Tamandua tetradactyla: one gene and its partners. The protein of the gene in region 1 interacts with the protein of each later gene in a pairwise test. Links are inferred from orthologs where the notes say so. Each region holds a gene or a part of one and is shown in the gene's direction. Other genes may lie near its edges.

What was found. The genes of interacting proteins can lie anywhere in the genome.
Region 2: the proteins of TRIM32 (region 1) and SCGB1A1 interact in binary tests that used the Homo sapiens proteins (3 or more experiments, as listed by UniProt). The two-hybrid records come from large-scale screens. The link is inferred for Tamandua tetradactyla from reciprocal best matches to the Homo sapiens genes TRIM32 and SCGB1A1.
Region 3: the proteins of TRIM32 (region 1) and RABAC1 interact in binary tests that used the Homo sapiens proteins (3 or more experiments, as listed by UniProt). The two-hybrid records come from large-scale screens. The link is inferred for Tamandua tetradactyla from reciprocal best matches to the Homo sapiens genes TRIM32 and RABAC1.

Annotation. Positions count from the first base shown.
Region 1 is NC_135328.1:40,933,549-40,940,487, reverse strand, and holds the start of TRIM32 (E3 ubiquitin-protein ligase TRIM32), read left to right. Parts: upstream 1-3,932; 5' UTR 3,933-3,982; intron 3,983-6,939. UniProt on the Homo sapiens protein: E3 ubiquitin ligase that plays a role in various biological processes including neural stem cell differentiation, innate immunity, inflammatory resonse and autophagy.
Region 2 is NC_135335.1:12,174,442-12,181,881, reverse strand, and holds the start of SCGB1A1 (uteroglobin), read left to right. Parts: upstream 1-4,431; 5' UTR 4,432-4,486; coding exon 4,487-4,541; intron 4,542-6,574; coding exon 6,575-6,762; intron 6,763-7,440. UniProt on the Homo sapiens protein: Binds phosphatidylcholine, phosphatidylinositol, polychlorinated biphenyls (PCB) and weakly progesterone, potent inhibitor of phospholipase A2.
Region 3 is NC_135342.1:21,683,672-21,691,132, reverse strand, and holds RABAC1 (prenylated Rab acceptor protein 1), read left to right. Parts: upstream 1-4,452; 5' UTR 4,453-4,598; coding exon 4,599-4,654; intron 4,655-4,959; coding exon 4,960-5,172; intron 5,173-5,459; coding exon 5,460-5,557; intron 5,558-6,729; coding exon 6,730-6,831; intron 6,832-6,913; coding exon 6,914-7,002; 3' UTR 7,003-7,161; downstream 7,162-7,461. UniProt on the Homo sapiens protein: General Rab protein regulator required for vesicle formation from the Golgi complex. May control vesicle docking and fusion by mediating the action of Rab GTPases to the SNARE complexes.

The DNA of each region.
Region 1 (6,939 bases):
AGGACCCTGCCCAAAGGGACCCCCATCCTGACCATGAAACAAGCCTCACTAAGGGAACAACACGGCAAGAAACCAGGATAGAGGCAACCTCCGCTCTCCTCCAGCACTGTTGCTCAGAACAGCTCATCTGAGAGCTTTGCTTGACAGGATTATGCCATGTGGCTTTAGTGACAGTCATGAAGGTTCCACATTTCTTGACTTCCTAAGCACTGTCATCTCCTTATCTGTTTCGAGTTTTACACCAAACCTTACTCAATAAAATAGAGAGCTGTTGTCATAAAATGCTGCATAGTGGTTAGAAGCATTTTATCAATCTGACAAGCCTGGATTTGTATCCTAGCTCGACCATTTCCCTGGTGGTGACTGTGAACAAGCTATTTAATCTTTCTGCACCTCTGTTTGCTCCTCTGATATCTACTTGAATAGGTGGTGAGTAGATCATGACTGGTGACAATATATGTGAAGTGCCTGGCATATTGTTGGTACTCAAAAAATGGCAGCTCTTAGCTGGCTGACCCCACGAAGTTATGTTGCAGTTAAAATAACTCCAGGCTAGACAGGGAATGAGACTGCCTTAGGTCACATTACAGAGTCTGACTCACTCAGGAGCTCTTCTGTGCTGGGTCCAGTGCTAACAGATGTGACTGCGAACACTGACCTTCAGAATAGGCAAGAGGATGATAAAATCTGACCAGACTTTGTGAGAAATCAAATTGCAAGTCTTGGAACTTGCTGAGCGGCAATTGAGCACATCAGAGCTCCCAGGAGCCCAGGACTGTGGGAAAAGCAAGTACTCCTCCTCCTCTGACCTTGGGAAGTTCAGCCTGCACCCACTAGCTGCCAATTCTGAGCAAAACCTGTGCCGGGCTTTTTAGTCCCAGACTGTGCTCCCTACTAAGCCCAGTCATGACTCAATCTATTGCTGGCCTCTACTCAAACTGCAGAGGCCTGGAAGTGCATCACTGAGGTCTCAGAGAGCTATGTCAACTCAGGAGTCCAGAGCCCCCAGGCCTGATCTAGGGATGCCTGAAATATATCAAGCTAGCCTCCTGGGGTCCTCAGCATCTGCAATACTATGTGCTGGGGCTTTTGTAGACAAGGCCCAGAGAAGTGTGAGAGCTAATTTTAATTTTTAAAAAGTAACTTATTAAGTGCAAAACATTACGCGTTCATAATCTCAGTTAATTCTCAGGGCAAACATCATCTACATTTAGAGATAAAGATATGGACTGTAGAATACAGGGTAAAGGATGATATGGTCCATATTTTAAAACTTCAACTTCTGTGTGAGGCCAAAGGAAGTGATGTTATTTAGTGCAAAATTTATATTTTGGGTGGCACATTATCCTATTTAACTTGTATAGTCAGTTTATTTGAACACTATAATTACATGGAATCTTAAATAGGGCATGAGATCTTGTTGGTTTGTACAGGTTAAAGTGATGCCGCAAGACATCCCAGATTAATTTGGGCCAAGAATAAAAAGGTATTAGCAAAGTCCCCTTGGGGAACTGGGGAGAAAAAAGGAAATATTCAACTTCCCCATCTTGGGAATTCCTGATATTCTCTCAAGCAGTGGGGACAACAAATTCAATAGGCTAGGCCCTCGATCTTGGGGCCACCCTATAAAATTTATTCCTGCAAAAGAGAAGTTAAGCCCACTTATAATTATGCCTAAGAGTCACCCCTAGAGAATCTCTTTTGTTGCTCAGATGTGGCCTCGCTGTCTAAACCAAGGCAGCAGGTGGACTCATTGACCTACCCCCTGTATGGGACATGACTCCAAGGTCTGTAAATTTCCCTGGCAATGTGGGACAGAACTCCCAGTATGAGCTGGGACCCAGCATCATGAGATTGCAAAAGCCTTCTTGACCAAAAGAGGGAAGAGAAAAAAGAGACAAAATAAGGTTTCAGTGGCTGAGAGATTTCAGACAGTCAAGAGGTTATCCTGGAGGTTATTCGCATGCATTATATAGATATCCCTTTTTAGTTTATGCTGTATTGCAATGGCTGGAGGAAAGTACCTAAAACTGCTGAGATGTTTTCCAATAGCCTTAATTTTTGAAGACGACTGTATGACTATATAACCTTTACAATGTGACCATGTGATTGTGAAAACCTTGCGTCTGATACTCCTTTTACCCAAGGTATGGACAGATGAGTAAAAAAATAAAGATAATAAATAAATAAATAATGGGGGGAGATAAAGGGTAAAAAATGGGGTAGATTGAAATACTAGTGGTCAGTGAGAAGAAGGGGTAAGGGGTATGGGACGTGTGAGTTCTTTACTTTTTACTTTTTTTTTTTTTCTGAAGTGATGCAAATGTTCCAAAAATGAACATGGTGATGAATACACAAGTATATGATGATATTGTGAGCCACTGATTGTATACTATGTATGGACTGTATGTGTGTGAAGGTAGCTCAATAAAAATATTTTAAAACAAAGAAATGGATAGAGAGATTAATCGAGGTTAAGAGGGTGGGTTCTCAAAATTGGGTTCAAGTCTGGGTCCCACCATCTATGAGCATTGGCCTTGTTATTCAACCATCTGGGCATCAGTTGTTTTATCTCATGGGATTCTTATGAGGATTAAATGATTTAAACATATGCAATGCTTAGCTGCAGCCAGACATTAAGTTAAGGATGTTGGTTTTGTCACTGTTGTTGTTTTATTATTGTGGTTGATTGAATTATGTACCCCAATTTAGCTTGTTTTTAATTTCAAGCCACACTTTTGTGAGTGTGAACCCATTGTAAATAGGACCTTTAGAAGATATTAACTTTAATATTAAGGTGTGGTGTGGTCCAGTTGAAAAAGGGTGGGCCTAGAGTCCTTTAAACGCAGAAGAAAGTCAGGCATAGAGAAAGTCATGGTGAGAAGCTGCAAGTCAGCAGAAACCTGGAAGAACACAAAGGAACCCAAGGATTGCCAGCCAGAGAGAACACCAGTGCCCTCCTCAGGAGGAAGCAAGCCACTTTCAGCCTCTGAAACCATGAGCCAATAAATTCCTGTGGTTTAAACCAAACCCATTGTGTGGTATGTGCATAGCAGGTATAGTAGCCTGGCAAACTGAGGCAATCATTGTTTGGGGTCATAAAACTAAACGGGATTTCCAACCCTAAGGCATTCTACTTCAGAGCGTCTTTGTGCTCCTAAACTATATAGTATGGTCACCTGCAGGACAGGTAATTGGTCCCAAATAACCCAAAGGGCCACATGTCCTGGCTTGCCAGTAGGTTAGACCACCTCCCACCTGGAAAGACCCTTCCCCAACCCTCTCCCCTCTAAAGCTAGCCTTAGGCTTGGGTTCCTGGGTAGCTTCCGTCTGCAGGGACAGGAGCTGCAGGATATATTCCCTATAGGTACCTTTGCTGTTTTCCTCTCAGCCAAGTAAGCAAAAAACTCCTTCTCAAACGCAAAGTGTTATAAGATAAACATGTCTCCAGTATTATATATGTCATGGGGAGAAATATGAGACCTGCGACACTGCCTTGTAAGCGAGTCCAGAGTAAAAGTAACATTCTTTCTTTGGCCTATTTCTCAGATGGGAAAGCTGAGGGTTAGCGAGATCATTTCTGTAAGCTGCCAAGGTTTTGTTGGCGACAATCCCGGACAGTCACGTTTTAGTGGAGGGGTTTAGCTCCCGACTCGTTGCATGAACTTGGGACAGTCCATTTCGGCCGTGGGCCTCAGCATCTTCATCCGTGCAATGTGACAGGAACCTGGATTATCAGGAAACCTTTCCAGAGACCCCAGTTCCTCGCCAAGGGGTTGCCACAACCGGGCCGCAGGGCCTGGAAAGCTTGGCCGCGCGCGACTACAAGCCCCAGCATACCTCGGGGGGGAGGCGGGGTGCAGTGATGGACAGGAGGCTCTACGAATTGGCGCTCGCCAAGAGGAGCGAAGCGGCGCATGCGCAGAGAGCGGCGGGCGGGAGGGCTAGGGGCTGTGGACTCGTCGGAGCCGCTGGCGGTCAGGTAGGGGGCGGGAAAGAGGGTCGGGAATGAGGGACCCCGGCTGGAGTCCTGGGTGGTGGCTGCGCGGCGAGATGAGGTGTCGTGCTGGCGCATAGCGTCTGGGCCCGCGTCCAAATAACAAGCTCTGGGGACCGGATCAGAGGGGTAGGATGAGGTGGGGGTGGGGCATTAGGGGCAGGCTCTGGAGGGATTCGATGGGGCTGGGGAGCTCTGAGGAGCTGCAGCTGGGATTGTGGGGGCTCAGGGAAGGTTTCCTGTGCAGCATTTCGGGAACTGTGAGGTAATGTGGGGCTCTGAGGAACGCGGAGTGCAGTATCTGGAGATGTGGGGATATCTGAGGACCCTGGAAGGACCTGGGATGCCAGATTTGGATAATTGGAGGGAATTTGGGGGCCTTGATGAGATTTAGGGTGCATGATCTCAGGATGTTTCAGAAAATCTGAGTGTGTATCCATTTGGGGGGTTAAGTTCTGAGATCACAGAGAGCAGGAGCGATTCTAATTGGTAAAGAGGGAAGGTTTTCCTGAGTAGGATACCAAAAAAATTGAGGGGCGAGTTTTGTGGGGATCAGTGAGATGTATTGTCTTGCTAGCTAAAAGAAGGGACCTAGCCAAGGTTTGAAGTCAATACGTGATATGGGGTGGATAAAAAGGATGAGCAACCTAATAGGATGCAGGGGATGGGGCTAAAACTAAATGGAGGTCAGAAATCTAAGGTGAGAATTGGGTGTTTGGAAGAGGTAGGGGTGCGAAGCTGAAGGCTTCAGAGATTGGAAGTAGGGATTAAGGAAACTGTGTTAATTGGACTTGGGACATAAGGATGAAGGTTGCAATACAGAGCCCAAAAGATTGGAATTTTGTATTGTAAAAGGATTGGGAATAGGATTTGGAGAGGATTGAAGGGGAGGGGGGAGTGAAGGATCATAACTGACAAATGGAATTAAAAGGCTCTTAATAGGTTGGTGGGTTGGTGTCTCTGACTGCTAAAAGAATTTTCCTGAAGTCTTTGTATGGGAACAGAGGGAGTTCTGGGGATCCTAGGACCTAGAGGTGATGTATGAAAGTGTGTATGAAAACATGAAGCTTAACATGTTTAGGGGTTCAGGAAAGAAGTCGTAAGTCTTCAGAGATCAGGACTCCTAAAGGAGCCTAACTTTCCCTACGAGGGGCACAATCTCCTCCACTTATTCACCCAAGTTCTCTTATCATGAGGCAGGCATGCCACTGCCACCAAGTCCACTCTGATCCTGGACTAGCTGAAAGTGGTGGGCCTGGGGAGAAGGAGAGAAATCAAAGAAGGGATAAAGCAAAAAGCTATTCAAAGTCATCCTCCTAGACGCCCCCTTCCCTGCCCTACAAGCTGCAAGGTTCTAGAGACCTCCAGGGGAATGAGGAAACATTTTCTCAGGCCTTCTTTTCCTCATCAATTCAATAAGCGGATTGAATGAGTTCATATGTAAGGACGATTACAGCTCAAAGCAGTCAGTGGCTTTGTGAACAAGGCGCCTGGACAGGGAGAAAATCTAGGGAAAAAGGTAACTCATATTTACCAAGCATTTAGTTTTGTGCCAGGCTCCAAAGCAGTTGTTCTTAAGCAGGGGCAGTTTTGTCCCCCAGTGGATATTTGGCAATTTCTGGAGACATTTCTGGTTGTTCAAACTGGGGAGGGGGTGCTACTGGCATCTGGTGGGTAGAGACCAAGGATGCTGCAAAACATCCTATAATGCCTCCACAATAAAGAATTATCCATCCCAAAACAACGCTAGTGTGGAGGTTTAGGAATCCTGACTTATTTTTCTTCACTTTTTATTGAGTTACTTAACCTCTTTATACCTAGGCTCTGCATCAGTAAAAAGGGATTAATAACAGGACCTACGTTATTATTTCAGCCCATTCCTCTCTAGTGAAAAAAAAAAGGATTGCCCAGTGGGTATTACCAAATACCAAATAGAACTCTAAAGGGGAGCAGGTTAATTTATCTGGTTAGGTAAGGTGAACTGGATTTTGTTCTTTGTTTGCTCTTAGACTAGACCAGTGGATGGATAAGAGGAGGAGCTTGAGGTTAGATGGTAAAATGGGGTACAAGGGACTAAGGAGAGAGGTATAGAAGCCATTGGCTAGGGAAAATACCTTCAAAGCAGGGACTGAGGCTAAAGGCAGTCAAAACATGACAGGAGAGCAACTACTGTGGCCTGAAGGCTCTTTTTTGGGTATCTTTCCCCTGGGACAGAATAGCAGTTTTAGCTCTGTCAGCTCAAAGACTAGCTACAGCATTGCTGAAGCCAGTTCAGATCTGAGGGCCAGAGATTTAGCTGCAATATCCCATTCCCTCCTCCCCAAAAGGAAAATAGGTAATGGGAATCAGAGGCCTGAAGCCGAAAATCCTTACTCTACTACTAATTTACTGTGAGACCTTGGATAAGCACTTGCCCTGTCAGCCTCAATCTATTAAGAATATGAACTGCCATTTAAAGAGTGCTTATTATGTATCAAGCACATATCGTGCATTATCTCATTTGATCCTGCCAATGATCTAGGTGTTATTCCCCATCTGACAAGGTGTTATTCCCCATTAGATGAGGAAACTAACAGGTTATATGATTCTTCTAAGGCTACAGAGTAAGTGCCAAAGCTGAGATGAGAACCCAGTTATGTCTGGCCCCAAAGTTACATTATACACCTTACGAGAAAGGTTTTGCAACTCTGAGAGCACAAATGTCTCCATCTGGAGAGTGGTTGATACACAGGATCCTTGAAGTGGATCACTGCCCATGTACACTTCTAGTAGAACAATCAAATTTTAAAATTATTCCTAGGTTCCTTTAATAACCTCTTAGCCAAACTCCCTAAAGGTAATAACAACCTAAGTAGTCAGTGAACTATAGCATGTATTTTGAATTGGTGTGATTTTATGGCTTGTAGTTGACATACCTGGATTTGAACTCCAGTTCTATTGCT
Region 2 (7,440 bases), on another chromosome or scaffold:
CATTGGCGCATTCCACAGGTTCCTGGTTAGCAACCATTACATAGCTTGGCCTCTGCCACACAGGGTGGGGGTGGGGGTGGGGTTGGGGGGACCGGCCCAAGCAAAGGCGCACCACAAATGGCGCAGGAGGGCACCACAAATGGCAACGTTAAAATGCAAGACAGTGGAGGGGCCTGTGGAGGCAGGTAGGGAGTGAGGCCACTGAGGGGAACCAGCCGGTCGGAGAAGGCTTCACTCTCGATTTTCCGGGCCCAACCCTATTCCTCTATCGGACCCCAGCCAGACAGCCAGGGGGCACAGTTGGCTTTTCCCTGTCCCTTGGCTGCCTCGTTCAGTCCAGCATACAGCCTGTCCAGCATCGCCTCTCTTAGCTGCCCTGATTCCCCTGCCTGTCACCTGGTCCAGATGCCACCGCCTCTCGGGGGGACATCGGCAACAGCTGCTCAGCTGTCCCCCACCCCACCCACCCCACCCCCAACACACACACTCACTCACTCACCACCAGTCCTTCTCCTGAGGGCCATTTGTTTATAACCTGGTCGTTCCCAGAAACTCCGGGTATTTATGTGACTCCTGAGACTCAGGATTTGAACTCTGGAGCTCTGAGAGCCTGCATTACTCCATACAGGAACTGCTGAAAACGTTGAAAAAACGGATCAGACTTCGACTAGAGATGTGATGAATCTCATCTGGATAGGACTGGGGTAGATCAGAACACAGGGTACAGACTGGTTATGCCAAATCTAAACAGGCAGGGGAGGTGGGGGTGGGGGATGGGGGTGTGGGGGAGGGGTGTGGATTCTTTCCTTCTTCCCCAAAGGGCAATCTTAATGGATGGCAGCGATGGCAGCACAACCCTGGAAATGTAATTAACATCAATGAATTGTATCCCTGAAAGTCATTAAAATGGGAAAATTTAGGTTGCATATATGCTACTAAAATAATTTTTTTTTTTTTTTAAGAAAAGGACAATCGGATCACATCACTCCCTGATTAAAAAGCTTCCGGTGACTGAGCTTAAAGCCTGAGACCTGTGTGCTCTTGCCCTGTTGGCCCTGTACAGCTGGTACACAGGCACAGGGCCCCCATGGGCTCCCGCGACACACAGGGGTCCTTCCCAACTTAGGCCCTTGGTGCTGGCTGCCCCCTCTGACCAGAGCCCTCCCAACCTGCAGTTCTAAGAATTGTCACCTCCTCACAGAGGGCTGCCCTGATTTCCCCATCTAAGAAGCCTCACACCTTTTTTTCTTTCCTTATCCTAGCATCATGCTTAATTCCTCCCTAGGAATGTCACCATCTGTAATTATTTCATTTGCTTAAATGTCCACCCATCTTTGCCCCCACCAGAGAGGAGCGCCACAAGGCACTCTTTCATTGCTGAAACCACATTGTGGGTTGGGGTCTCGTGAAGCAGATGCTGAGATGGAGTTTGGAGTGCAAGACCGCCCTTAGAGTTCAACGCCTGCCAAGGGGAAGGGGTGGAAGCTATGATAACGGCCGGGCAAAACCCCAGCCTCCCTGGAAGGAGGCATCTGAAACTGTTGAGCTGGGTTCTGGTACCCTTGATTCTTGAAGATGACTGTAGAATGATAGAGCTTTTACAATGTGCCTGTGGGGTTATGAAAACGTTGTGTCTGATGCTCCTTTTGTCGAGGGTATGGACAGATGAGTAAAAATATACATGGATAGGGAAAAAAAAGAAAAAAATTTTAAAAGGCGGGCCACAGTGGCTCCGTGGCAGAGCTCTCACCTGCCATGCAGGAGACCCGGGTTCAATTCCTGGTGCCTGCCCACATTTAAAATATATATATATATATATATATACATATTTGGATAGGGACCCTGGACCAGATAAGTCCTGAAACCTAGAGTGCCCAGCCTCTCCAGAACATCAGCTAGATCATCTCCCTACCCCATATTATCAACAGCCCCTTCCAACATGAAAAAGTTAGAATGGCCATAGCCCAAATACCCCTAAAGAATGGGATAGAAAGAGCAAATGTGATGGTAGAGTTATACATAGAAGGTAGGGTTTAAGAAACAAGTATAATTGCTGAATCATTATGTCGATATTTCTTTTAGTCTCCAGCATCTTAGAGCAGCTAGAAGTAAAAACCTAAAATTGTGGAATTGTAACCCATACCAAACTCTGAAATCTGTTCTAAAACTAATTGTTGTGCTATGCTTTGAAATTTATTGCTCTTTTGTATATATGCTATTTTTTGCAAAAAAAAAAAAAAGTCGATTGAGATGATAAAAAAAATATTTATTCCTTCTAGCCTCCTATGTTCTGGAGCAGCTAGAAGGAAAAATCATGACAAACTCCAGGATCTGTCCTGTACCTACTTGTTGAAGAGTGCTTTGAAAATTATTGCTTCTTTCTTTGCTTTGTATATATGTTATATTATACAGTTCAAAAAGTTAAAAAATAAATAAATAATAGAGGGGCTAGGGGGTAAAATAAATTGGGGAGATGGAAATACTAGTGATCAATGAGAGGGCAAGGTAAAGTGTATGGTATATATGAATTTTTTCTTTTTTCTTTTTATTTCTTTTCCTGGAATGATGCAAATGCTCTAAAAAAATGGTCCTGGTGATGAAAACACAATTATGTGATGAGATTGTGAGCCACTGATTATGCACCACGTATAGATAGTATGTGTGTGAAGATTTGTCAATGAAAATATTTTTTAAAATATAAATAAATAGTGTGGGCCATGGTGGCTCAGCAGGCAGAGTTTTCGCCTGCCATGCCAGAGACCCGGGTTCGATTCCCAGTGCCTGCCCATACAAAATAAATAAATAAATAAATAACCCCAGCCACACCCTAGCAGAGAGCTCCAGAGTGAGAACTGCCTGTTGGAGTTGTCCCATGTGGTGCCAAAGTGCCCAGGTTTGAAAGCCGATCCCTGCTGGGTCCCCAGATGCAGGCAACTTTGGGAAAGCCGTGACCTTCGGCCAGGCATTCCTCTGAAGCTGAAAAAGACTTGGAAGCAACCAACAGCTGAAGGCTCTGCTGACCACACTGCCCGCAGCTACACAGTGAGCTCTTGGGCAGCGCCTCTCCACGTCCCCACGACTCCCAACTCCCGGCACATGCCTGGTGCATAGCCGGTGACTCAACACTTATTGAATGAATGAATGACGTCTGGCTGAGTTCTGAAATACTAATAGGATTTGGAGGACGTACACAAGGGAAGATGTGTATATTCCGGCATCAGGCTCAGTTTGTGCAAAGGTAGAAATATGCATGGAAAAAAAGAATCTAGAAATATTCTGGAACCTACAACTAGTAAGACGGGGTTAAATCAAACAGGGCAGTGGAGGGAATGAGGCTCAAATGGGAGGCAAATGTCCACGGGCAAGAACCTTGTAGACCACATTTGAATTTTGACCTGTTGGCAAAAGAAAGCTATAAAAGGGTTTCGAGGAGAATGGCATGATCGGTGTCTTTTAGAAAGATTATTCTGATGGCATTTCAGAGGATGGCTGAGGGGTCAAGCTAGGAAATGGGGAGGGGGGGAGACAATTAGGAGGTGGTTTTGGAAAGACCAGGCCAGATGCCAGGAGGTATTGGCATCAGAGAAGGGAGGTAGCGACCACAGGGCGTGGGGACTTGAGGGGAGGCTGAGAACAAAGCCTGGGAACCACCAACACTTAACTGGGTCAATAAAGGATAAACATCAAAAGAGAACAAGAGAGAATGGAGAGGGAGGGGGGAAACAGGAAAGAACTGAGACATGGGAGAACACAAAGGAGAAAAGGAACCGGTCAAGCAGGTCAAAAGCCATTTAAAAGGTCGAGCAAGATAAGGACTGAAGGTGCCTATGAATTTGGCCACCAGAAGGGCAGTTCTGGGGTGGAAGCAGACCCAGCCTGGTGCAGGGCCTCGTCCAGCCTGGATCCGGTTCTGGTTCTGATAGGTGTCCTAGGAAAACCCTTTATCTATGAACACACTTCAGTACAGGGTCTCCCCCAGGTCTGGACACAGTGGACCTCTGGACGATGTTGCCCAGCTGCCGTCCTTGGAGGGGAGCAGTGGAAGGAGCCAGCGGGATGTCAGGAGACCTGAGTTCTAGTCCCGTCCCAGCCACTTGCTGAAGGGCCTTGGGCCTCGGTTTCCCCCGGTTGACCAGCCCACAATTGTTTACCTTGTTCCTGAATTGCCCCCTCCCCACCCCACCCCCAGCGCTCAGGGCCAGAGAGTGAGGTGGGCGGCCCAGTCTCCATGCAGGACTCTGGACTCCCTACCCCAAAAGTGACCCATTGTCTGAGAGCTCCGTTTCAATGGGGACAGAAACTGAGTTGAGAAAATAAGATATTTACTTTTTCCACCGGGCTGATGCCCAAGTAAACAGTGCAGTGCCCTGGCCTCCCCCCACCAGGCACTCCCTGGAGCATATAAGAAGGCTCTGCCACGGGCAGGTCTCACCCAAGCCCACCGGCCCAGAGACAAGCGAGAGCCTCCCCCAGCCTCCCACCCACCATGAAGTTCCTTGCTGCTCTTGCTTTGGTCACTCTGGCCTTCAGCTGCACCCCAGGTGAGCCCCCCAGAGTCTCTTTAGTCCAGGACTGGCCTCAGGGCTTGTCACGGCCCCCCAGTTCTGCTCAGGACAAGGGTAAACTGCTCGAGTCCCCTCTGTGGCTGGGGGAGAGTCTGGGGTACTGACTCTGAGCCAGGAAGCTCAGAGCCCATCTTGAGGGCTTGGAGGGAGCTCTGAGGCTGTCAGGAAACCCAAAAAGGGTCCCATTGTCCATAACCAAGAACCTAACAATTCCAGGGAACGGAGCAGACTGAAGGGAGGGATGCTGGAGAGCCCATCTAGATGAGAGGGTCTGATAACCAACGGAATAGGAATTATGAGCAGCTCAAAGCCCAGACTTGGACAAACCCCAAGATGCCAAGAGCTCTCCGTGCAGCCTCCAGGTTTGGGGTCTCCTCCCGCCTCGGACAGGCAAACGGACCAGGAAAAGGAGCTGCAGAGCCTCATGTCCCCAGATGAAACCCACCCCAAGGCATTTTTCTCTTTGGGCAGAGAAGAATGAACCAGAAAGAGGTCTACCCTCTAGGAAACGGCCAGCCCAAAAGAGAGTTTTCTAAACATTTGGTTCTCTGCAAAAAGAAGTAGGAGCCTCTGAGCAGTTGCTGCTGTCACTAAGGTGGAAAGGAATGGAAGAACCAAAGGAAGGGAGGGAGGGAAGAAAGGAAAGGAGGGAGGGAAGGGTGGCTTTCTCACGTTTCTCTCCAAGTCCCCCCTTCTTTGGGAATTGGGTGACCTGACTGGTTTTTTAACTCTGCATCAGCTTCTTCCACCCCAATCTGAAGATGCTATCGTTTCGTTTGCTTTTTTTAATAAACGAATTCCATTTAATTCGCTTTGAAAGTTTCATGCTACCCATGACGATGACAAACTTTATGACCTTGGGAGGTTATAAAACCAAAAGCAAGAAGCAGCCATCTTGTAGAGAAGTTTGTTTCTCCAGGGAAATAATACCGTTTTGGGCTGCAATGCATGTTAATTAGAAGACCGCAGTGCTGGGTGTAAAAGTGGGTGGCTCTGTGAGATGGTACTGAACTATGTTCGGGGTGGGTCTGGGAGGCTTTTGTATATTCGTTTGTGTGCATATGGTAAAATAGCAGCAATATCTCTAGCATTTACTCAGCATTTGCAACGTGTCCCTCTTTCACTTACTATCTCTTCATTCTTACAACAATCCTCTGAAGATGGTATATTACTCCCATTTCACAGAGGAGAAAACTGAGCTACAGAAAGGTAAATTAACCTGCCTGATGATATAGCAAGGTACAAAGCAGGAATCTAAGTTCTGGAGAGCATGTGACTCAGAGTCGCCACTTGGGGTAGGGGCCTGGAGTCCAGGAGAGGAGCTGAATTTGAGTATAAGGCAGAGAACGCAGGTACTGGGCATCTGCGCCTCTGTGGAGGGATGGGGGCATGCAGGGGGTGGGGAGTGTGACTCTCCCCCAAGCTCCTGGAAGCAGAGATTTGAGAAGGGAGCACACTCCAGGGAGCACTACAGGGAGCACAATAGGACAAGGAAGAGCCCAAAGAAGCTTGCCTGACTGTGGGGGCTCATGCTTGGCTGGTACAAGTGTTTCTTCCTGCCAGAGCCTGGCTTTGCCACGAGCCCACAGTGACATGTGGCTCAGACCATCACTCACCATCGGTAAGAGGCATGTTCTAGTGGGAAGTAAGTCCCCAAGGCTGCTGCCTCTCCAGGTGCTCCCAACTCAGAACAGCAGCTTCTGTTGGGCAATACCCTGCCTAGAATTCGAGCAGAAAGGCCAAATGGCACCTTGCCCCACCCCCACCCAGGAAGTCCAAGGAAGCCAGAAAAAGCTGGCCATAACCCAGAAAGCATTCACAGAGCACCAGGAGAGTCAACTGCCAGGAGCGGCACCAGAGGCAGAGCTGACATTCTGTTCCATGGGCAAAAGGGCTGCTGGCCCCGCCGCCCAGCCTGGGCATTGGCATCATGGGCATGTCCAGCCAGGGGGCTGGCCAGTTTGGAAGATGGTCTGGATACATATTTTTTCTCTTTTTCTGGGCCCCAGCTGCAGCGATGGTGTGTGAAAGCTTTCTCCATGTCCTTACAACCATCTTCATGGGCACGCTTTCCGATTATGAATCCGCAATTCAACCTTTCAAGCCTGAGCCAGATATGAAAGACGCTGGGGTCAAAATGAAGAAGCTGATAGACATTCTCCCCCAGGAGACCAAAACCAGCATCATGAAGCTCTCGGTAACCAGCTTTCTTTGCTTCTCCCCTTAGACGTGCATAACCCTGAGTCCCTCAGCTGCATCATCCTATTTTCTGCAAACTTTTCTAACCCAGAGTGGAGAGAGGAGAGTCATGGCACAGATGGCCCCAGAGGCCAGACCCAGCTATCTCACAGCCATTTCCCCTTTGCTTTATAAATAGATATAGATATAGGCATAGATAAAGATTTTTTGATAAATCTTCATACACATACAGTGAATCCAGATTATACAATCATTGGCTCACAATATCATCACATAGCCGTGTATACATCACCATGGTGTATTTTTAGAACATTTGTATCACTACAGAAAAAGAAATAACAAGGAAAATGCATACATCCCATACCTCTTACCTCTTCCTCTCATTGACCCCTAGTATTTCATTCTATTCAATTTTTTACTCTTTATTTCCCCCCTATTATCTATTTTTTTTATTATCTTATTTTTTTATTCGTCTGTCCATACCCTGGATAAAAGGAGCATCAGACACGAGGTTTTCACAATCACACAGTCACATTACAAAAGTTCTATCATTAGACAGTCATCTTCAAGAAACAAAGCTACTGAAACACAGCTGTACAGTTTCAGGTACTTCCCTCCAGCCACACCAGTACACCATCAACTAAAAAGGGATATCTATACAATACATAAGAATAGC
Region 3 (7,461 bases), on another chromosome or scaffold:
CCTGCCCCTCTCCCCCAGGCTGGCTGCTCTCCCCCCACCCCTGCCCCCTGCCTCTCTCTCTCCCTCTCCCTTTTCTGTGTCTCTGTTTCTCTCCCTTCCTCACCCTTCCATCCCTACCCTCCCTCCCAGCCCTCTCCTGGCCTCTTTTTTACTCCTTTCACTCCCCGACTGACGCCATCTCTGGTTCTGGACAATTATCAAATATATCAATGGGGAGAGAGAAGTGGTGTGCCGTGTTGTGCTTGCTTTCCAGACTAATGGTGCTGGGGGGACCGTGTCCCATGGGGGTTCGCGCTGCTGGGTGATTCACACAACTCCAGAAATTTAGCCTGGCTCGTTCGTGAGAGCCACAGAATCTCAGTAGGTTAAGGAATCCGCAGGGTTTAGGATGCAGTGAATGCCAGGGCAAGAGCAGCTTGAATTCGTCTGGTGATGGGATTATAGTGTCAGCGCAGGGAAGAGGCTGAGAATAAGAGTTAGGACTGTGGAGTCGGGGACCCTCTCATATTGGAGTAGGGTCTCCGGGAGGTGGTGGGGATGAAGATGATGATGATGGCGGTGGTCCACTGAGCTCCCACCGTGTGCGCTGTGCTCTGATGGGTCCGGCTTACATCTGAGACCCTCCCACGTTGTCGGACCTATCGCCACCCCATTCTCTTGCCTCGCTGTTCAGTATCCGATTGTGTGAATCTAACACTCTTTGTTTATCCATTCGCCTGTGGATGGACATTTGGGTTGTTTCCAGCTTGGTGGCCCTGACGGTGTGAACTGCGAGGAATAGGAACCTCCTAGTAATGTCTGTAGATGACGTGTGTGCACCGCTGCTGGGTACAGGCCTGGGAGAGAAGTTGTTGGGACACACCATAGACTATGTTTAGCTTCAGCAGAAACTGCCAGGCTGTTTTCAAAGCCCTTGCACCATTTTGCATTCCCACCAGCAGTGTATGAAAGTTCCAGTGGCTCCGTGCCTTCACCAACACTCTATATTGTCTTTTTAAATTTTAGCCATTCTGGTGGGGCAGCTACCCCACTTCCCTGGAGGCTGCCTCTAACACAGCTCAAAGACACAGGTCAGAGGGCAGGGTGGGGCCAGACCCAGGCCCACCTGGCTACCAGTGTGAGGTGTGTGGGTGGCCCGGATGCTCCGAGGGCTCATGTGAGTGTGGGTTGTTGCCTATGTGTGTGCGCGTGACCATTACAGCAAGCGACAGCTTAGGGAGGAGTGCTTGTGTCGGAGCAGGGAAGGGGCCGTGGGTGCTGGACTCCCCTCCTGGTGCCCAGGACAGAAGCTTGATCCTGACAGAGCTGTGCAAGCTTGCACCCCTCTTGGAAGGCCAGCGAAGCACTTTATTCATCTAGTGCCCCCAGGTGTTAGTAACGGTGTGGTACCTGGGAATCCTGTGTTTTATGCATGATTGTTCTGTAAATCAACAACTTCTCTAACAAAAAAGGAAAGAAATACTCACATATACAGATGGGCAAACTGAGGCCCAGAGAGGGGAGGGACTCCCTTGAGGTTACACAGCAGGGACTATAACCCAGGATCCTGATTGTCTATGCTAAGGGCTTCTGACCTTCTCAGCGCCACTTCTTCTGGGAACCCAAGAGGCTGGAGGGCACACAGGGCCATGCTCACATCCCACAGTCTTGCCAGGGGTCCCTGATCTCTCCCCATCCCCCTAATCCAGGACCCCTTCCCCCACAATCCCTCTGTCTCTGGGCCCCATCTCCCACAATTCCCCTGTCTCTGGACCCCATCTCCCACAATCCCCCTGTCTCTGGGCCCCATCTCCCACAATTCCCCTGTCTCTGGGCCCCATCTCCCACAATCCCCCTCTCTCTGTGACCCCATCCCCCACAATTCTCCTGTTTCCGGGCCCCATCTCTCAGAATTCCCTTGGCTCTGGGGCCCACCACCTCCCACAATGCTCCTAATTCAGGGCTCACTTCCCCTCAACCCCCTGCTGTAGGGACCTGTTATAGTTTGCAAGCTGCCAGAGTGAGATATACCAGAAATGGAACAACTTTTAAAAAGGGGAATTTATTAAGTTGCACATTTACAGCATCCAGGGAAAGATACTTTGGTTCGAGAAGGCCTATGATGTTCAGGGTTTCTCTGTCAACCGGAAAAGCACATGGCAACCTCTGCTAGCCTTCTCTTCAGGCTTCTTATTTCATGAAGCTCCCCCAAGGGCGTTTTCCTTCTTCATCTCCAAAGGCTTCTGGCTGCATGGGCTCTTGTGACTCTCAAGCTTTCTCCAAAATGGTTCTTTCTTAAAGGGCTCCAGAAAGCAACCCCACCTTGAATGGGTAGAGAGACACCTCCATAGAAACCATCTAATCAAAAGCTGTCACCCACAATTGGGTGGGTCACATCTCTGGGGGTAACCAAAAAGCTTCCACGCAGCAATACTGAATGAGGATTAAAGGATATGGCTTTTCTAGGGTCCACCACAGATTCAAATGAGCACAGTCTCCCCTCCCACAGTTCCTATTTCAAGGGACCCTTCTCCTACACTGCCCCTGTGTCAAGGCCCCAACTTCAAAACTCCTACAATTCAAAGTTCACCCTCCTCCTGGGGTTCAGAGGGTCCCTCCCCTATAATGTCCTCTCCTCTGCAACCACATCTCTTGCCGTGGTCCCTGTGAGACCACTATACATCATCCATGTTCCATGTCTCCCAGCCTTTGCCCAAATATGTCAACTACTCAGAACAGGTACTGGCAGGTGATGGAATGAAATCACTTTGAATCAGTTCTCATAAGGAAACCCATTTCAAGGTTGGCCATGGAGAAAGAATAACATCTTGGGAAGAGGTAGCTGGATCTTGGCTTCCAACTTTATTTCCCCAAGATTCATCTTCCCTTCGGGGGCGCTTCCACTGGTTACCTCTGCCACCCCCATCCCAGTGCTGCTAGCCCATCCATGCTCTAGGCTAACTGTCCCTCTATAGACCTCCTTTGATTTTTTGAGGCAAAGCTGGACTTGAGTTGGAAAACTTGAACAAATTGGAAAGCCCAAGGATGACAGAGGGGAAGGAAATGGTAACTAGACAATCTGACCCTCATTTGTAGCTTGGGGCCGGATAGGCACACCATCAGTAGCCTCCCTGACTACTGCTGCACTAGCTCCCTTGGCAGGAGTCATCTTTCCCCACCTCCAGCAGGAGTGCCCTCCACCAGGGCTGAAAGGCCCTACCCAAAAGGCCTGAGCATCTTGGGAGATAAGAATTGGGGCTAACAGTCACCTGGCTATTCCCCGTAGGTTTTCTCCCTTCAGTCCCAGGCTTGGAAAATTACGACTTCACTTCATGTAAGGAGCCCAGACTTCATGGCACTCCATTCATTTCTTAAGGCCCTGTTCCACTGCACCCTCTTTAAAATTCTGGTCCTGTCTTCCCACAATTCACCCCGGGGCAGGGACAGTCCACTGAGGAATTTGTTTAAAGACTTTGGGAGAACCACAGCTGGGGAACTAAAGAAAGGCCCATGCCTCAGACACCAGCCACTCTTTGGGATACCCAAGGGGCCAGAGTCCCCTAATATGCAACTGTGAAATTGGGGAAGGCTGAACTCCAGAAATGATCATCATAACATTAATGATGATACAGTGTTGACAGCAGTGACTATATTTATTGAGCATGTATAAAGTGTTGAGAACTTTAAGCACTTTATCTGGCTCATTTAACTGAATCTTCATAACTCCATGAGTGTGGCACTCTGAGGCTCGCCACTGTCCAGATGAGGATGTGAGGTTCAGAGATATGACTCAGTCAAAGCCACACAGCCTGCATTTTCAATTAAGTCTCACCTCAGAATCCCAGGTCTTTTAGTTATACAAGCTTCCTCTTTTATAAATTTGCAGCTCTTTCCCCCTCACAACTTCCTTCCTATGCCAAGGTGCGTGGTGGGCGGGGTCTAGTCCTAACCCATTGGACCCTGAAAGCCCAAAGATTGGAGGGAGGCTGTGCTTCACTCCCAGACACCACCCCCACAGCCACAGCCCTCCTACTAGCCTCTGTCCCTGGTGGGAGAAAGGAATAATTTCCCACGAATTCTCTACAACTTCGCTACTCAAAATGTGGTCCAGGGACCAGCATCATCAACATCACTTGGGAACGTGGTAGAAATGCAAATTATGGGCCCCACTCTAGACCCCCTAAACCAGAGCATCTGGGGTACGGGCCCAGGAATCAGTGTTTTATTAATTTCTAGTGTTCACAGCACCACCTTCTTCCAGGAGGGCTCCCATAATACCCTTACTCCCGACAGCTCACCTTCCCCGACTCCACGCCCCCAGCTCTAGAACTACAACTCCCACAATGCCCAGAGATTTCCACTGCCCCCCCCTTCCCTGGGACTTCATTGGGACTACATTTCCCAAGGTGATTTGCGAGCCAGTCCTCCATCATGGCGCCCGCACCTCCCAGACACCTCCAGGACTACAACTCCCAGAAGGCTCAGCGGCAGCCCTACCGTCCCCAGTAACTCCCGAGCCGTGCCACGTCCATTTCGCGGGTGAGGCCGGGCTTGGGCGGGGCCCGGGGTGTGCGGGGCCCCGGGCTCCTTTCGGTGGTTCTGCCCCTCACACCGCAGATATGGCGGCCGAGAAGAACCAGCAGAAGGATGCCGAAGTGGATGGGATGAGCGCCACGTGAGCGACCCGGCCCTAGCCACTCCCCAACCCAAGACCCGGAGTCCGGGCTCTGACCCCCTGTACCCCCGGGTCCCAGGACCCCCTATGGCAAACCTCTTCTCTCAGACACCAGAGTCCAGGCTCCCGGTCCCCTTCTCTTCGAGGACTCTGGAGTCTGAGCCCCTCCTTCCCTCCTCCCCGGGGTCCAGGAGTTCGAAGCCCCACTCCCCCAGGAGCCCGGAGTCCGGCCCTCTCAACCCTCATCTTCCTCGGGGTCTCAGGCCTCTATCCCAGCCTACCGCTGACCCGGCCTCGTCCTCCAGGACCCTGCTGCCCAAACTGATTCCATCCGGCCCGGGCCGTGAGTGGCTGGAGCGGCGCCGCGCAACCATCCGGCCCTGGGGCCCCTTCGTGGACCAGCGGCGCTTCTCGCGGCCCCGCAACCTGGGCGAGCTGTGCCAGCGCCTGGTGCGCAACGTGGAGCACTACCAGAGCAACTACGTGTTCGTGTTCCTGGGCCTCATCCTCTACTGCGTGTGAGTGCTTCTCCCGCCCGCCCTGGCCTCGCCCCCACCCGGTGGCCCTGCTCTGCCCGGTGGACCCCGCCCTCAGCAAGCTGCCGCACCCCTCGCTGGCCAGGCCCCGCCTTGTGTCCCAGAGGGTGGGGTCCCTACTCCCCTGACATCTGGGCTAGGCCTTGTGACCAGCGTGACCTGGTGTCAAGGAAGAAGCCCTCCATCTGCCCTGTAGAAGGATGGGGGACCCCTGGCTGGCCAGTCCCTGCAACCTGACCCCTGCCTCTCTTCACTCCCCTCCTTCCCAGCTTGACGTCCCCCATGCTGCTGGTGGCTCTGGCGGTCTTCTTTGGTGCCTGTTACATCCTCTATCTGCGCACTCTGCAGTCCAAGATTGTGCTCTTTGGTGAGATACCCCTTGGCCAGACCGAGCCCCGACTTCTCAACTTCTGGACTCTCTGAATGCAAACCTCAGACCCCCAAACTTAAATTTAAATTCAAGTCCCTCTGAATTTAAATCTACTCAAACTTAGATCTACCCTAAGTCTCCTACAGCTCATCTCTTAAAATCCCAGACACATTAGATGCCCCTACCCAGCCTCAGCTCTCTCAATTGCTATTCTCCAAATCCACAATGAGATACCCCAAACCCACCCTTCACCTGGCTCCTCCCCAAGCCATTCCACTCCTCCCTAATTGGTCCTCCCTAACCTCTGCAGAAAGCATCAGCTGCAGGTACCCCCATTGGACACCAGGTGGTGGCCTTACACTGGCCTAGTTCCTGTTCTCTCCCCTTTCCTGCTTCCTGAGATAGAAGCTGGAAGGTGGGACCAGAAAGAGCTTAGGACTTAGAGAAGCTGAGACCTATGGCTTTATAAAGTACCTTGTTGTGGTTCCAGCCTGGAATGAGGTTCCATTGGGCAAACAAAGGAGGACCTTCGTCCCCATCCAGGGGAAGCTCAGGTTTGGAGTGGGGGCAGGGAGAAGTTGGGATCACACAATCAGTGAGACTTAAAGTACTTCAGGGACTGAAACTAAAATTCAGGGGCCTGCAAGTCATGTACACGATGAAGGTGGACTGGGTGAGGAAGTGCTGGGCCACCCCAGGACATGGAGAGAGCATCTAAAGCTTAGCCACGACTTGTCTTCGGCCTGTTGCTGTCACCAGAGAATGCAGTAGTGTCACCCACTTGTTCTTGGAAAACAGTGTACAGGTTCAGAAAACATAGCCACAGGTCAGACTTGGTCCAGGAGCCATCAGTTTGAGTTCCCTGGCCTACATGAGTTCAGGTTGGAGCAGGAGAGCCCTGTACTGGGAAGGGGGTGCTAGGAGTTTTCTAGAGGAAGAAGGGTTGAAGGGCAAGTGGTCGGAGGCTGAGGACAAGTTTGATACTCCAGAGGAAGATGGGGATGTTGGAGAGAAGCTGTGATCAAGACTCATGGGGTCTTGGTGAGATGGGTTTGAATTAGATCCTAAGGCTCTAGAGCTTGTGACACCAGATTGTTGGGGGATGGCGGGGGAATCTGGGAGAGGGCATGGAGTGTCGGAGCCGTGCCCCAATGCCATCCACCCCCCAGGCCGAGAGGTGAGCCCAGCCCATCAGTATGCCCTGGCCGGAGGCATCTCCTTCCCCTTCTTCTGGCTGGCCGGTGCGGGCTCAGCGGTCTTCTGGGTCCTTGGTAAGTAAAGATCTGGGTGGTATGGCCAGGTGGGGACATGCAGGTGAGGGAGCCTTGCCCTGACCTGCCCAGTTTCCTACAGGTGCCACCTTGGTCGTCATCGGCTCTCACGCCGCCTTCCACCAGGTGGAGGCTGGGGATGGGGAGGAACTGCAGATGGAGCCTGTGTGAGGTGTCTCCAAGGACCCGCCGCTTCCCAGGCCAGCTCCCCTGGCTCCTTTCACCCATATCCTGCAAGGCTCTGCTGCCGGGGCCCAAGGCCCCCTTCCCATTACAAGCCCAGGGGAGGAACTCCAGCTTTGGAAATAAAGCTGTTACAGTTGTTATTCAGCAGGTGTCTCCTAGTGTCTTCTGTGTGTCTCTGTAGAGTGATGCTAGGGTACTGCTGTACCCAAGATAGATGGGCCCCAGGTGTGGGAGACGACCGTACAGATGTATAAGTGAAGTGGTCTGGGGTGTCAGATAGTGATATGTGCTGAGGAGAAAAGAAACGTGGGGAAGGGGTCATGTGTCGGGGGTCCCCATGAGCAGCCCCAAATTCTATGATTCACTGGGAAGACACACAGGACTCAGCATATAGCCAGCTCACAGCTGAGATTTGTTGTAGTAAAGGGACACCAGGCACAATCA